Linked DNA regions of Sus scrofa. The protein of the gene in region 3 binds, or shares a complex with, the protein of the main gene of each other region. Links are inferred from orthologs where the notes say so. Each region holds a gene or a part of one and is shown on either strand. Other genes may lie near its edges. The genes, in order: NSMCE2, NSMCE1 and EID3.

What was found.
Region 1: EID3 (region 3) and NSMCE2 share a complex: the UniProt entries of both Homo sapiens proteins name them as parts of the SMC5-SMC6 complex. The link is inferred for Sus scrofa from reciprocal best matches to the Homo sapiens genes EID3 and NSMCE2.
Region 2: EID3 (region 3) and NSMCE1 share a complex: the UniProt entries of both Homo sapiens proteins name them as parts of the SMC5-SMC6 complex. The link is inferred for Sus scrofa from reciprocal best matches to the Homo sapiens genes EID3 and NSMCE1.

The regions. Positions count from the first base shown.
Region 1 is NC_010446.5:14,591,563-14,595,210, reverse strand, and holds part of NSMCE2 (E3 SUMO-protein ligase NSE2), read left to right. Parts: intron 1-2,189; 5' UTR 2,190-2,203; coding exon 2,204-2,360; intron 2,361-3,648. UniProt on the Homo sapiens protein: E3 SUMO-protein ligase component of the SMC5-SMC6 complex, a complex involved in DNA double-strand break repair by homologous recombination. Is not be required for the stability of the complex.
Region 2 is NC_010445.4:19,608,334-19,612,626, reverse strand, and holds the start of NSMCE1 (non-structural maintenance of chromosomes element 1 homolog), read right to left. Parts: upstream 2,832-4,293; 5' UTR 2,829-2,831; coding exon 2,729-2,828; intron 2,723-2,728; exon of another isoform or gene 2,526-2,722; intron 2,495-2,525; exon of another isoform or gene 2,258-2,494; intron 2,162-2,257; exon of another isoform or gene 2,137-2,161; intron 1-2,136. UniProt on the Homo sapiens protein: RING-type zinc finger-containing E3 ubiquitin ligase that assembles with melanoma antigen protein (MAGE) to catalyze the direct transfer of ubiquitin from E2 ubiquitin-conjugating enzyme to a specific substrate.
Region 3 is NC_010447.5:80,220,770-80,224,651, forward strand, and holds the end of EID3 (EP300-interacting inhibitor of differentiation 3), read right to left. Parts: 5' UTR 3,755-3,882; coding exon 2,657-3,754; 3' UTR 565-2,656; downstream 1-564. UniProt on the Homo sapiens protein: Tissue-specific component of the SMC5-SMC6 complex, a complex involved in repair of DNA double-strand breaks by homologous recombination.

The DNA.
Region 1 (3,648 bases), on a different chromosome or scaffold from region 3:
AATTTGTCCTTACAACAATGCTGTGAGATAGATGTGATCAACTCCTTTTCACATGGGTGCAAACCGAAGATAGAGAAGTTAAGTACCTCAGCCACAGCAATTCATTTTTAGGTGATGTGGACAAGATGGAATTTCAAGGCATTTCTGTCCAGGGTCCATTCACTTAAACCCTATTCTGCATTGCTGCTCACAGTATTGTAATGATTAAGTTGATGATAATATTTGCTCTCATTATTTTTTTCTTTTTTCGTCTTTTTAGGGCTGCACCCGAGGCATGTGGAGTTTCCCAGGCCAGGGGGCTAATCTGAGTTGTAACCACCAGCCTACGCCACAGCCACAGCAACATGGGATTCAAGCCGTGTCTGCGACCTACACCACAGCTCATGGCCGGATCCTTAACCCACTGAGCAAGGCCAGGGATCGAAGCTGCAACCTCATGGTTCCTAGTCGGATTCGTTAACCACTGAGCCATGACGGGAACTCCTGTTTTCTCTCATTTTAAAAGATTATGTGCCAGGTGTTATTATGAGCGTTTTGTTTTACATATGAACTTAATCCCTGTGATCTCTGAAGTTGGCCCTGGATCATCCTCATTTTGCAGAGAGAAAAAGTGAAGCATTTGAGAGGTTAAAAAATTTTCCTGAAGTCATTCAGCTACTTAAGTGGCAAAATCAGGCTTTGAACTCATGCAGTTTGGCTCCAGAGGCTCATTTTTAACCCCTACCAGAGTTTTCAGTAGTTAACCTCTACAAGTATTGCCTCCATATTCTACTCCATAATGTAACTAATATTTAATATAAATGTTTCATGCTATTTTTAAATGGAGTTAATATTCTAGGAAGATATGTCTTGATCATACTGTGGCATTATTCCCCCTTCCTTACCCCCTCGTTCGTGTGTGTGTGTCTGTCTGTCTGTCTGTAGTACACTTTGATAAGTGTGTTCCTGGAAGTGTGCTGTCCAGTGCAGTAGCCACTGGGCCTATGTAGCTATTTAAATTTTTTTGATTTTGTCTTATTTTAATACAGTAGAGCATTGACAAGAATAATAGATAACTTATTTGATAAGTTTGGTTTTATAAAATATTTGTTGAACAGAGATGCTCTGAATAGAGGCAAAAAAGTAGGTAAAAACTATTAGTGAAATATTTACATATATCTATTTCAAAAATTCAAATAGAAAATATTCTCCATTTAGAAGTATGAGTTCTGAGCTTACCAGGTTCCCTTGCACCTGTAGTGTTTCACAATTTGAAAAAAAAACATGGTCTTCAGAAAAGTCATTTGAAGGTATTAACAGTTTCAAATTTCTAAGCATGAATTCATGAAATGTCTGTATGGAGGCTAAGAAAATACCTTTTTTCCTGCTGCCATACAGCCTTCCCCCAGTAAATTCTCTCCATTTTTCTGCTTGGTTTCAGTGGACTGAATTTCACATAGTTTCTGAATTAAGCACCGATGTTTTTTGTAGAGAGCTTCATCTAAGTAGTCCAAAGCTTAAAGAGTTGGTGGTTAAACATATAGATTAGGGAGTATTTTAATCTGAAGGTAATAGCTAAAACTATTACTGTGGATGAGCTACCAGAAGATAAGAATACAGGCAAATTTTGTTTTTTTTTTTTTTCTGAAACAGAATCTGGAATCTCACCAAGTCTGTAAATCTGTTAGAACCCAGAGAAACTGTTAGGAGTAAAAGTTTTTTTTTTTTTTTTTTTAAATAGTGTTCGGAATTCAATATGCATGTGTGTCAGATAAGTTAAAAATTACAGATTTTCAAAATCCTCCCTTATTAAGCAATTTTATTGCTATCATTTTCATTTTTTTTTTTTAGGAAAATGCATCATATGAGCAGTCTACTTTTTCTGACCCATTTATGTTTTATGTTTTTATAAGCTGTGCTGTTGTTGAATTTTCAGAAACTTGAGGAAACTTTTGGAAGAGAATATTCTCCCTCCTTTAAAAAATGATGGCAGTTACCTCCCTCACAACAGAAGTGAATCTGTTGTGTTTGGCAGCCAAGATAATGGCACGGTTATTTGATATCCTTTCAAGAGATGTAGAATGTAGACAATGGTATTAGCACCTGTGGGATATTGGATGCATACATATGGATGTTTACAGCAGTTCTGTTTTCCTGTGCAGTTATTATCCTTGTTCATAAATTTCATTTCATTGTGTTTGAACACCTAGGTAATAATTTCAAGATGCCAGGGCGTGCCAGTTCCAGTTCAGGTTCGACTGGTTTCATATCCTTCAGCGGCATAGAATCTGCTCTGTCCTCCTTGAAAAACTTCCAGACCTGCATCAGCTCTGGAATGGACACAGCTTCTAGTGTTGCTTTGGACCTTGTGGAAACTCAGAGTAAGTCATAATTAAAACTTAGTTCATTTGTGTCTACTCCGAGGTCACCCTGTGTGGTGGCATTGCTTTAGGGATGTGAGCTACTGCTCACCTTTTGAGTAACCTTTGGACAGTCATTGAATCCCTCTGGGCATCTGTTTTCTCATCTTGTGCTATGTTCTACATAGTGATGTACTGAGGATGAGATAAGATTAACTCATTTGTATATGTTTAAACCCTTATGTACCACTAGAAAGGACACTAGAGGAGTTCCCGTCGTGGCGCAGTGGTTAACGAATCCGACTAGGAACCATGAGGTTGCGGGTTCGGTCCCTGCCCTTGCTCAGTGGGTTAAGGGTCCGGTGTTGCCGTGAGCTGTGGTGTAGGTCGCAGACGCGGCTCGGATCCCTCGTTGCTGTGGGTCTGGCGTAGGCCGGTGGCTACAGCTCCGATTCGACCCCTAGCCTGGGAACCTCCATATGCCGTGGGAGCGGCCCAAGAAATAGCAAAAAAGACAAAAAAAAAAAAAAAAAAAAAAGGACACTAGAAATTTATGGGCTCAAACATGAAGGTTTCTGACCTCATGGAGCATACAGTCAAAAGTATGTGACATTTATGAACTGTGCCATAGAGAGCATTGCGATTGTTATTTTTTCAGTTATTTAACTGTATTTTGTTCATATTTGCATACTTGATAGACTGAGCTGATGTTGGGGGTACCAGTAAAGGGAGGCCTCTACAAAAAATGAGGAAAGTTCAGTTTTGCTGAACTTGATCAAAATTTTTTGATCAGAGTATCTAGAAAAATGTTATTTGCTTTGTTTGGATTAGAGTTGTTTAGTTTTTTGTTTTTAAAAGGCCTCACCTGCGATATATGAAAGTTCCCAGGCTAGGAGTTCGAATAAGAGCTGCAGCTGCTGGCCTGTGCCGAAGCCATAGCAATGCCGAACGGAGCAGCTTTCAACAACGCTGGATTCTTAACCCACTGAGTGAGGTCAGGTATCATACTTGCATCTTTGCGGACACTCTATCGAGTTCCTGACCCACTGAGACATGAAAGGAACTCCTGTTTTTATGTATGTATGTATGTATTTATTTATTTATTTAGTCTTTTTCTAGGGCCAGTCCTGTGGCACATGGAGGCTCCCAGGCTAGGGGTCTAATTGGAGCTGTAGCTGTGGCCTATGCCAGAGCTCACGGTATGCCGGATCCCAGACCCACTGAGCAAGGCCAGGGATCAAACCCGAAACCTCATGGTTCCTAGTTGGATTCATTAACCACTGAGCCACAACAGGAACTCCTGAACTCC
Region 2 (4,293 bases), on a different chromosome or scaffold from region 3:
CAAAATAAAACTAGACCCTTAGGTCATATGATGCACACAGATCAATTCTTAAGGATAAAAAGTCATAAGAAAGGAGACACTATAAAACTTCCCAGACAACACCGGAGTATATCTTTATGACCCACAGGTGGGGAAGGACTTCTTTAAAGGATATGAAAAGTGCAAACCATAAAACGACACAATGATAAACCCAACTGTTAAAATGAAGAACTGCTGCTCACCAAACACACAGCAAGGGGAGGCGACAGACAAAGAGACAGAGAAGCCAAGCCCAACCTGGAAGGTATGTGAAACACAGTGAAGCCACGATCCACATAATCTGATCCATATTCAGATTATACCAAGAACTCTCACAAATCGGTAAGGGGAAGACAACTGCACGAGGAAAAGGAGTAAGAGAAATGTCACCAAGAGAATGAACGAAGGACTAAGAAACACAGAAAGAGATTCTCAGTGTCGCCACGCCCATCACCAAACAGGCACAGCTTCTTAAGAAGGACAAGGCTGAGACGTTCATCAACTGCTGGTCGAATAGTAAGTCTTAGAACCCCTTCAGACATCCATTGGACATTCCTAGCACATCTGCATCTCCCCAGAAATCCACTGTTAGGTACATACTTCACGGAAACACCCGCATTTACCCCAAGAAGTATGTTTACGAAGCGCAATGTAGTAACAAAGATCAGGCAACAGTACGAGTGTCAATCAATGGAAAATCACCTACATAAGGCATTTATAATATGGTGGAAAAAAAAAAACAAAAAAAACAAAAAAACGATGCAGAGCTACTCACAGGAACATGGATGCATCTCAGAAACATAACATCATGTGCGAAAATCAAGTCACACAAAATATATTCAGGTCCCATTTACATGGATCCTGGGGCCTGGGAACTTCCACCTGCTGTGAGTGCCCACCACCACCCCCCGCCCCCAAAAGAACCCATTTACATAAACTCCAATCTCCCAATGAGCAAGACTGTGCCCTGCATTCACGCGAGAGACACAGATACTAAAAATTACATAGAAAAATAAAGGAAGGATAACATGATATTCAGGGCAGTGGTTATCTTTTGGGGAGGGGAGAAAAGGATCCAATGGTGGCTTTGAGGATACAATACTGTTCTATTTCTTAAAAGTTCTATTTCAGTGGAGGCTTTGAGGATATGAAATGTCCTATTTCTTAACTGGGTGGTGGGTGGACGGGTATTCACTGTAGTTTTGTTCTTTAAATTTACATCACACATTTCTATGGGCATATTACTTATCCTAATTGTAAAAAGAAGAAAATGATGTAAAATACGTTAAGTAACAGCCAAAATAAATTTTACTAAGAGGACGGAGGTAAAGAATGCTATAATTTGGGGGGAAGGGGTGGGAAAATTAAGTGGAAAGATAATCTATAGACTTGTTTATGCATAGAAACCAGTTGTCTCTATGAAGGGGAGATGGGCTAGCCATGAGCATGTATTACCTACCCAAATTATTATTTTATTCATTTTTTTTACAGCCACACTCGTGGCATATGGACATTCCCAGGTAGGGGTCGAATCAGAGCTGCAGCTGAGGCCTACACCACAGCCACAGCCACACTGGGTCCGCGCCGTACCTACGACCTACACAATGCTGGATCCTTAAACCACTGAGCAAGGCCAGGAATTGAACCTGCATCTTCGCTGGTCTGGTTCTTAACCTGCTGAGCCACCAGGGGAACTCCTAGGTACCCAAATCATTTAAAAATAGAATGTCTGCAGAACAAGCAAACCTCAAATAGAACCATCTGTGCCAAGAGCGAGATATATATGTGCATGCTTCCTGTGCACAGTCCTATTTAATCCTCCCCAGAACCTTATGAGGAAAGCATTACTGACCCCATTTTTCAGATGAGGAAACAGAGGCTGAGAGGGCACAAGGCCACACAGAGTTAGTGATGGAGACAGGGAGTGACCATACAAAAGCATGGTTAGAAACTGCCACACCCCCAGTACAAACAAGGGCAAAATATGAGTGGATCAACAAAATTATGATTCCAGGTTTTACGTGCAACGCTTAAATCTAAAAAGTTCTCAAAAACAAATCCTTTAAGTTTGAAAACCCCATCTGGCTTCAGGTGAGACTATTCATGCTTGTTGTTTACCTTCTTACTGGGAATATGCATCTATTCAGCTGTGAAAAAAAAGTAATGTATCTGATGACAAGACGCTGCCGGAGACCCCAAGGAAGATAGGACAGGACATATAATATATGCCCCAAATTACCTTTCGAGAATCCTAGAAATTCGGGATTGTGAACACATCTAGCCTCGGAGCTTTAAAATAAGGGGCTGTGGACTTGTACAAAGAAGTTGTGGACCCCAAAAAGAGAAGCCCAGAGTCGGTGAGCCTGACAGGGTAGTCAACGAAAGCCGTATTTTACGTATTCAGTTTAGAGAGAATTCTAATGCTTTCTCAGCTAATATTAGGATGTAAATTACCTAATATTACGATTTTAAAATGTCTGTGGGTGAGGGACTAGGTTCCGGTTTACCTGCCTCTGCAGCCCCTCTCAGGGCCTCAGTTTCCCCATCAGGAAATGAGAAACCGCGGCCCCCCGGCCCCCGAGGCCACACTGCGACACAGCATCGGGCCGACCCCCGGGGCCTGACCCCCACCTGCCGCCCGCCCCTCGCCTTCCCGGACAACTCTCTTCCTTCCCCGTCAGCCTCGCGCCCCCGCGGCCCGATTACCCACCGCGGCGCCCAAGCGCAGCCCACACTGCCGGCGGCGTTAGCAAAAAGGTGGGCTCGGCCCCTCCTTCGGGGCGGGGCGAAAGCAGTCGGGGCACTACCATTGGTGGTTCTTGCAGATTCGCTCCTCCCATCAGGTGACGCACTTCCTGTTCTCCCGTTGCCATGGTGCCGGGGAATCCGCCAGTTAGGGCAGGGGTAAGCGCATCCCACGCGGGTCACGCCCTGCACCTTACTGGAAAGGGCTTCCGCTTTTCGTCCTCCGCCTCCTGCCCGGCAGCTACCCCCCACGCGGTGAAAAGAGGAAGACCAAGAATGGAGCCTTAGTGTGACCGATTCCGTGGGCACAGCTTAGTGCCTCAGTTTCTCCATTTATAGAACTGACAGAGCCACTTCACCATCAAGAACGAGGCTTCTGGGAGTTCCCGTCGTGGCGCAGTGGTTGACGAATCCGACTAGGAACCGTGAAGTTGCAGGTTCGATCCCTGCCCTTGCTCAGTTGGAATAACAATAATAGTCCCTATGGGGGAATCCCCTGTAGCTCAGCAGACCTGAATCTGACTAGTATCCATGAGGACACAGGTTCCATCCCTGCCCTTGCTCAGTGGGTTAAGGATCCCGGTTGCATGAGCTGTGGTGTAGGTGGCAGATGCAGCTCAGATCCCGGGTTAGTGTGGCTATGGCATAGACCAGCGGTTACAGCTCTGCTATGATGCGGGGGCGGGGCGGGGCGGGGCGGGGACTAAAAAGCGAAATAATAATAGTCCCTATGAAATAATGTATTTCGAAGGTTGTTTTGTCTTTTTTTCTTTTTCTTTTTTTTTTTTTTTTTTTTTTTGGTCTTTTTAGGGCCGCACCCGCGGCATATGGAGAGTCCCAGGCTAGCGGTCTAATCGGACCTGTCTGCCGGCCTATGCCAGAGCCACAGCAACGGCATATCCAAGCGGCGTCTGCAACCTACACCACAGCGGGGGATCTTTAAGCCACTGAGCGAGGCCAGGGATCGAACCTGCAACCTCATGGTTCCTAGTCAGATTCGTTTCCACAGCGCCAGGATGGGAACTCCTGTTTTGAAGTCTTTTAAACACACATGGAAGTACTGATTAAATGTTTACTGCTTTCTTACATAAGGTTTGTTGTGAGAAGTAAATGCAATTAACAGACGTGAGCGAACTGTTCGGAGTCTCCAGGACACTTTACGACGTTTGTATTCCAGTCCCTAGTCTGAGAGCTGGCTGAACAGACTAGCAGGGGCCACAGGTAACGGGTGACTTATTATAGACCAGTAGAAAGTACAAGTATCAATCTCTGTGATGATAGCTTTAAGTCCTTACTTGGCTGGTTACCATTCCTGTGATCTTGGACAATATCTCAACCTCTCTGGACCTCACCTGCTGAGGGGGGTAAGAAGCAGAGTGGTGGCTAAAAGCTTGAATTCCATAACTAGACCGTCTGGATTTGAAACCTGGTTCTTAAACTCAGAATCTGTGCAACCCAGGCTTCTCTGTTTTCTCCATAGATTCGTGAACTGCCATTCTGCAGAATAAAGGGGCTGGGAAGATGCTAGCA
Region 3 (3,882 bases):
AATCGCAAAAAGACAAAAAAAAAAAAAATTTTTTTCCGTATTATTCTCCCAAAGTTCAGCTGACTTTATTGAACCTATGAAATTTAAATCACTCTAACTGTACTACTGGGAAACCAGCAGACTTGAGTTTGGTTCTTACCTAATCTCTAAAAATGAATTATCTATTGGTCAATTTTCCTTTTTTCTTCAAGGTAAGTAGTGGCTTAATTTCCAAGTGATGAGGCAATCCAGGTGTCATGACAACCAGTTAAAAACAGAAACAAGTGTTTAACTTAAATTCTATTTCTGGGGAGTTCCCGTCGTGGCGCAGTGGTTAACGAATCCAACTAGGAACCATGAGGTTGCGGGTTCGGTCCCTGCCCTTGCTCAGTGGGTTAACGATCCGGCGTTGCCATGAGCTGTGGTGTAGGTTGCAGACGCGGCTCGGATCCTGCGTTGCTGTGGCTCTGGTGTAGGCCAGTGGCTACAGCTCCAATTCGACCCCTAGCCTGGGAACCTCCATATGCCGCGGGAGCGGCCCAAGAAATAGCAAAAAAAAAAAAAAAAAAAAAAAAAAAAAAAATTCTATTTCTGCTGTAACTTTAGAGGAGACCCAAAGATGCCCTCCTTCACAAGCCTCCCCGTTCTCTGCTACGCAATGTGCTTTCAATCATCAAGTCGCAAACACTCCTGGTCAAGACACCTGGTGTTTAAAGAGTCATCCGGTGGTGAGCAGACCTGAGGCAAGATCTTTCTGCTCCCGTCGAGATCTTTCCCCCAAACAGCAAAGCTCTGGAAAACCTAAGGGGGCGGCTGGAAGACACACTAAAGGAAGAATCAGCCAGACGAAATGAGGCCTCCACAGCTGCTAGATCAAAGGGTGGTAGGTACTGGGAAGGGAGAGGACCCCTTCACATGAAAAAAGGGAAAGGAACGACTAGTTTAGAAAATAATAGGCCATGTCTCAGGAGAAATTCCTATGTTTGCTAAAACCCTCCACTAAGACTAAAGAACCTCTCAATCTCAATGTCATTCATTTAGCCTTTTGATTTCCCTTCCCTTACTACATGAGACGTGGCAGTAAAGTTTATCATTACTGCTAAACAAAGCAGATACTTACCCACTTACTAAATACGGTTTAATGGCAAGACCCACTACGACCCAAGATTAAGTTTCTAGAGATCAAGAAAAGCTTACAAGCATGCTCACAGCACCTTCAAAAATTGCTTTTTTTTTTTTTTTTTGGTCTTTTTTTTTGTCTTTTAGGGCTGCACCCATGGCATATGGAGGTTCTCAGGCTAGGGTCCAATCGAAACTGTAGCTACCAGCCTATGCCAGCCACAGCCACATCAGATCTGAGCCACTTCTGCGACCTACACCACAGCTCACGGCAACACCGGATCCTTAACTCACTGAGCGAGGTCAGGAATCGAACCCATGGATTCTAGTCGGCTTCGCTAACTGATGAGCCACGACGGGAACTCAAAAATTGTTTTCTTAAAGACCCAAATTTCTAACAGTAGCCTCCAAATAACAATGCAATTTATATTCTTAAAATAATTATAAGCAACAACATAAAGCCTTTTGACTTTATAAGAAGTGAAGAATATTTGGATAAATTAGTCATATATTTAAATTTAAACAAGGACAATTTCCAGGCATTTAAAGCCCTATTGAGAAATACAAAGTTGAAATGGTAACAAACATTTCAAGGCTGCAACATAATGAAACATCACTGATTCTGAGATACTAGCAGAATCACTGTGTACTAACATAAATTACAAGGGAAAAATGAGAAGCCAGAGAAGAATTTAAGTAGATAGAGATTGTAAATGGATGTTAAAATAGTTTGCGTGTGAAATAATCTGACAGAGATCTTCAACCTCTGAGGATATTAACAGATGAATGAAGTAAATCAATTTTTGCCCAATATAACATTCAAATGGAACAGTGTTCAGAAAAAGCTTATAAATCTTTCTGATACCGTAACATCTTACAATTCCATGTATTTGGCCTCCATATTTCCCTGCTAGAATACTTTTCCTATCTTTGACCAATTTCTACTCATCTCTCAGCACTTAGTTAATGCCTCACCTACTATAGTAGAGATATTCTACTTCCGCTGAGTCCAATCACAGGAGAAATTCTTTAGAATCTGGATATCCCTGCTAATTTGCTGAGTCCTCTTTGCAATGAGGCACGGCATCTGAATTTTTTTACAGTATTTATGCACTGCCCTACAGATAGTCTTTCCAGACCATTTTTTTTCACCCACTCTTTCCCTCAACCTGGTTAAGAGCCTATATGGAATTCCCTTGATTCCCTGTAGCAGAGGAAGCAATGCAGTATCACAGAGCCTCATAACTAAGTTTTTGCAATTGTCAAACACCTTTTAATTTAAAAAATTCAGAACTTCTCTTAATAAGGTCTTAAGGAACAGTCAAAAAAAAAAAAAAAAGTTTCCACAAACATGCTAGTGAATTTCTTTAGTTAGCAGAAAATCATGACAATTCTATAAATACCAAGAAAAACACATTGCACAGTACACAACTTCTGATGTTATTGATAATACTTTTTCACTTTACAAGAGATACAATGTGTGTTTTGTTTGGATTTTATTAGCCGTTTTGATATGCTTTAGAAAAGCCACAAAATACATTCTAAGAGCAAGTTATCTTCAGTATGAGTTTGTGATCATAGCCTCTGAAATTTCAAAAGTTGCCACAATATTTTTCCAGTCCTGTAAACTCAAAGATATAACCCCTTGTTTCCTGCCATGGGAACTGGGATCATTTCCCTCACCCACTTGGTTCATATTAATTGGCTCTAATATTGGCAGCCTGTCTTGGTCAAGCCTTATTCTTGCAAAACCATCCCTTATAATGAAAGAAACATAAAATATATTCTCCACAGTACGAGAAAAAGAATTTGGATCAATCACAAACTCAAAATAGGACACGGGAGTATCAGGATACTTTCTAAAGTATGTTTGCAACAATCCCAAGATTCTTTCTACTTCTTTTTCTGTCGCTTCTTGATTACTACTCAGGTCCAGCTTCCTCAGCTTTGTAGGCATGTCCCCATTTTCTTCCATCTTGTGAACTTTTTTCCGGTTTTCAAGTCGGGGCTTTCGAGAAGAAGGCTCTGATTTGAATGAACCAAAAATAAAGTGGAATGTTTCAGCTTGCAATATCCACGATGTTGCTTCCTTTTGCACTGTCTCCCAGAAGGAAAAAGCTATATTATCATCACAGTCATTCAATACATCACGTCCATCATCTTCCATCCAGTTTAGACCCACAAATATAAACAGAAAGTCACAAAATGCTACTTGATTAAAAAAGCTCATATCAGAGTTTAGCTGCTTTGCTTTTTCTTTACCCAAATCAGAAGCCAAAACAAGAAACTGCGCATCAAGCGCGGCTTCTCTTGTTCGACTCACTGCATCAAACAGGACATTGGCTTCCTCGAGAGCCTCGGTTAAGGAGTCGCTCGCCGTGTTCACTATGTCATCACGGTTCTGCTGGACGTTATAGATGAGCTGCCGGTACTGCTTGCGGATACTCCGGCATTTCTCCTCGTCCACAAGCTCCAGGAGGCTTGGGTCAATGTCGGCCTCCCCAAGGCTGAGGTCGTCAGAGAAGGCATCAGCCCCTGCCTCCCCCTCCTCCTCCTGCGCCTGCCTGCCAGAGTACGCACTGCGGGTGACGGTCACAACCGGCTCCTCTCCTTTCTCTCTGTCCCCCCACCTCAGGGAATCTCTTTCATCAGACATTTCGGGAACTGATGGCTCAGATGACGCCCCGGCAACGTTTAGGACAACGGCGGAAAATCGAAGGGGTCAGACAGAGCGGAGGAGGACGTCCGCCCATGCGCGCTAGGGACGGCCCAGAGGCCCCGCCC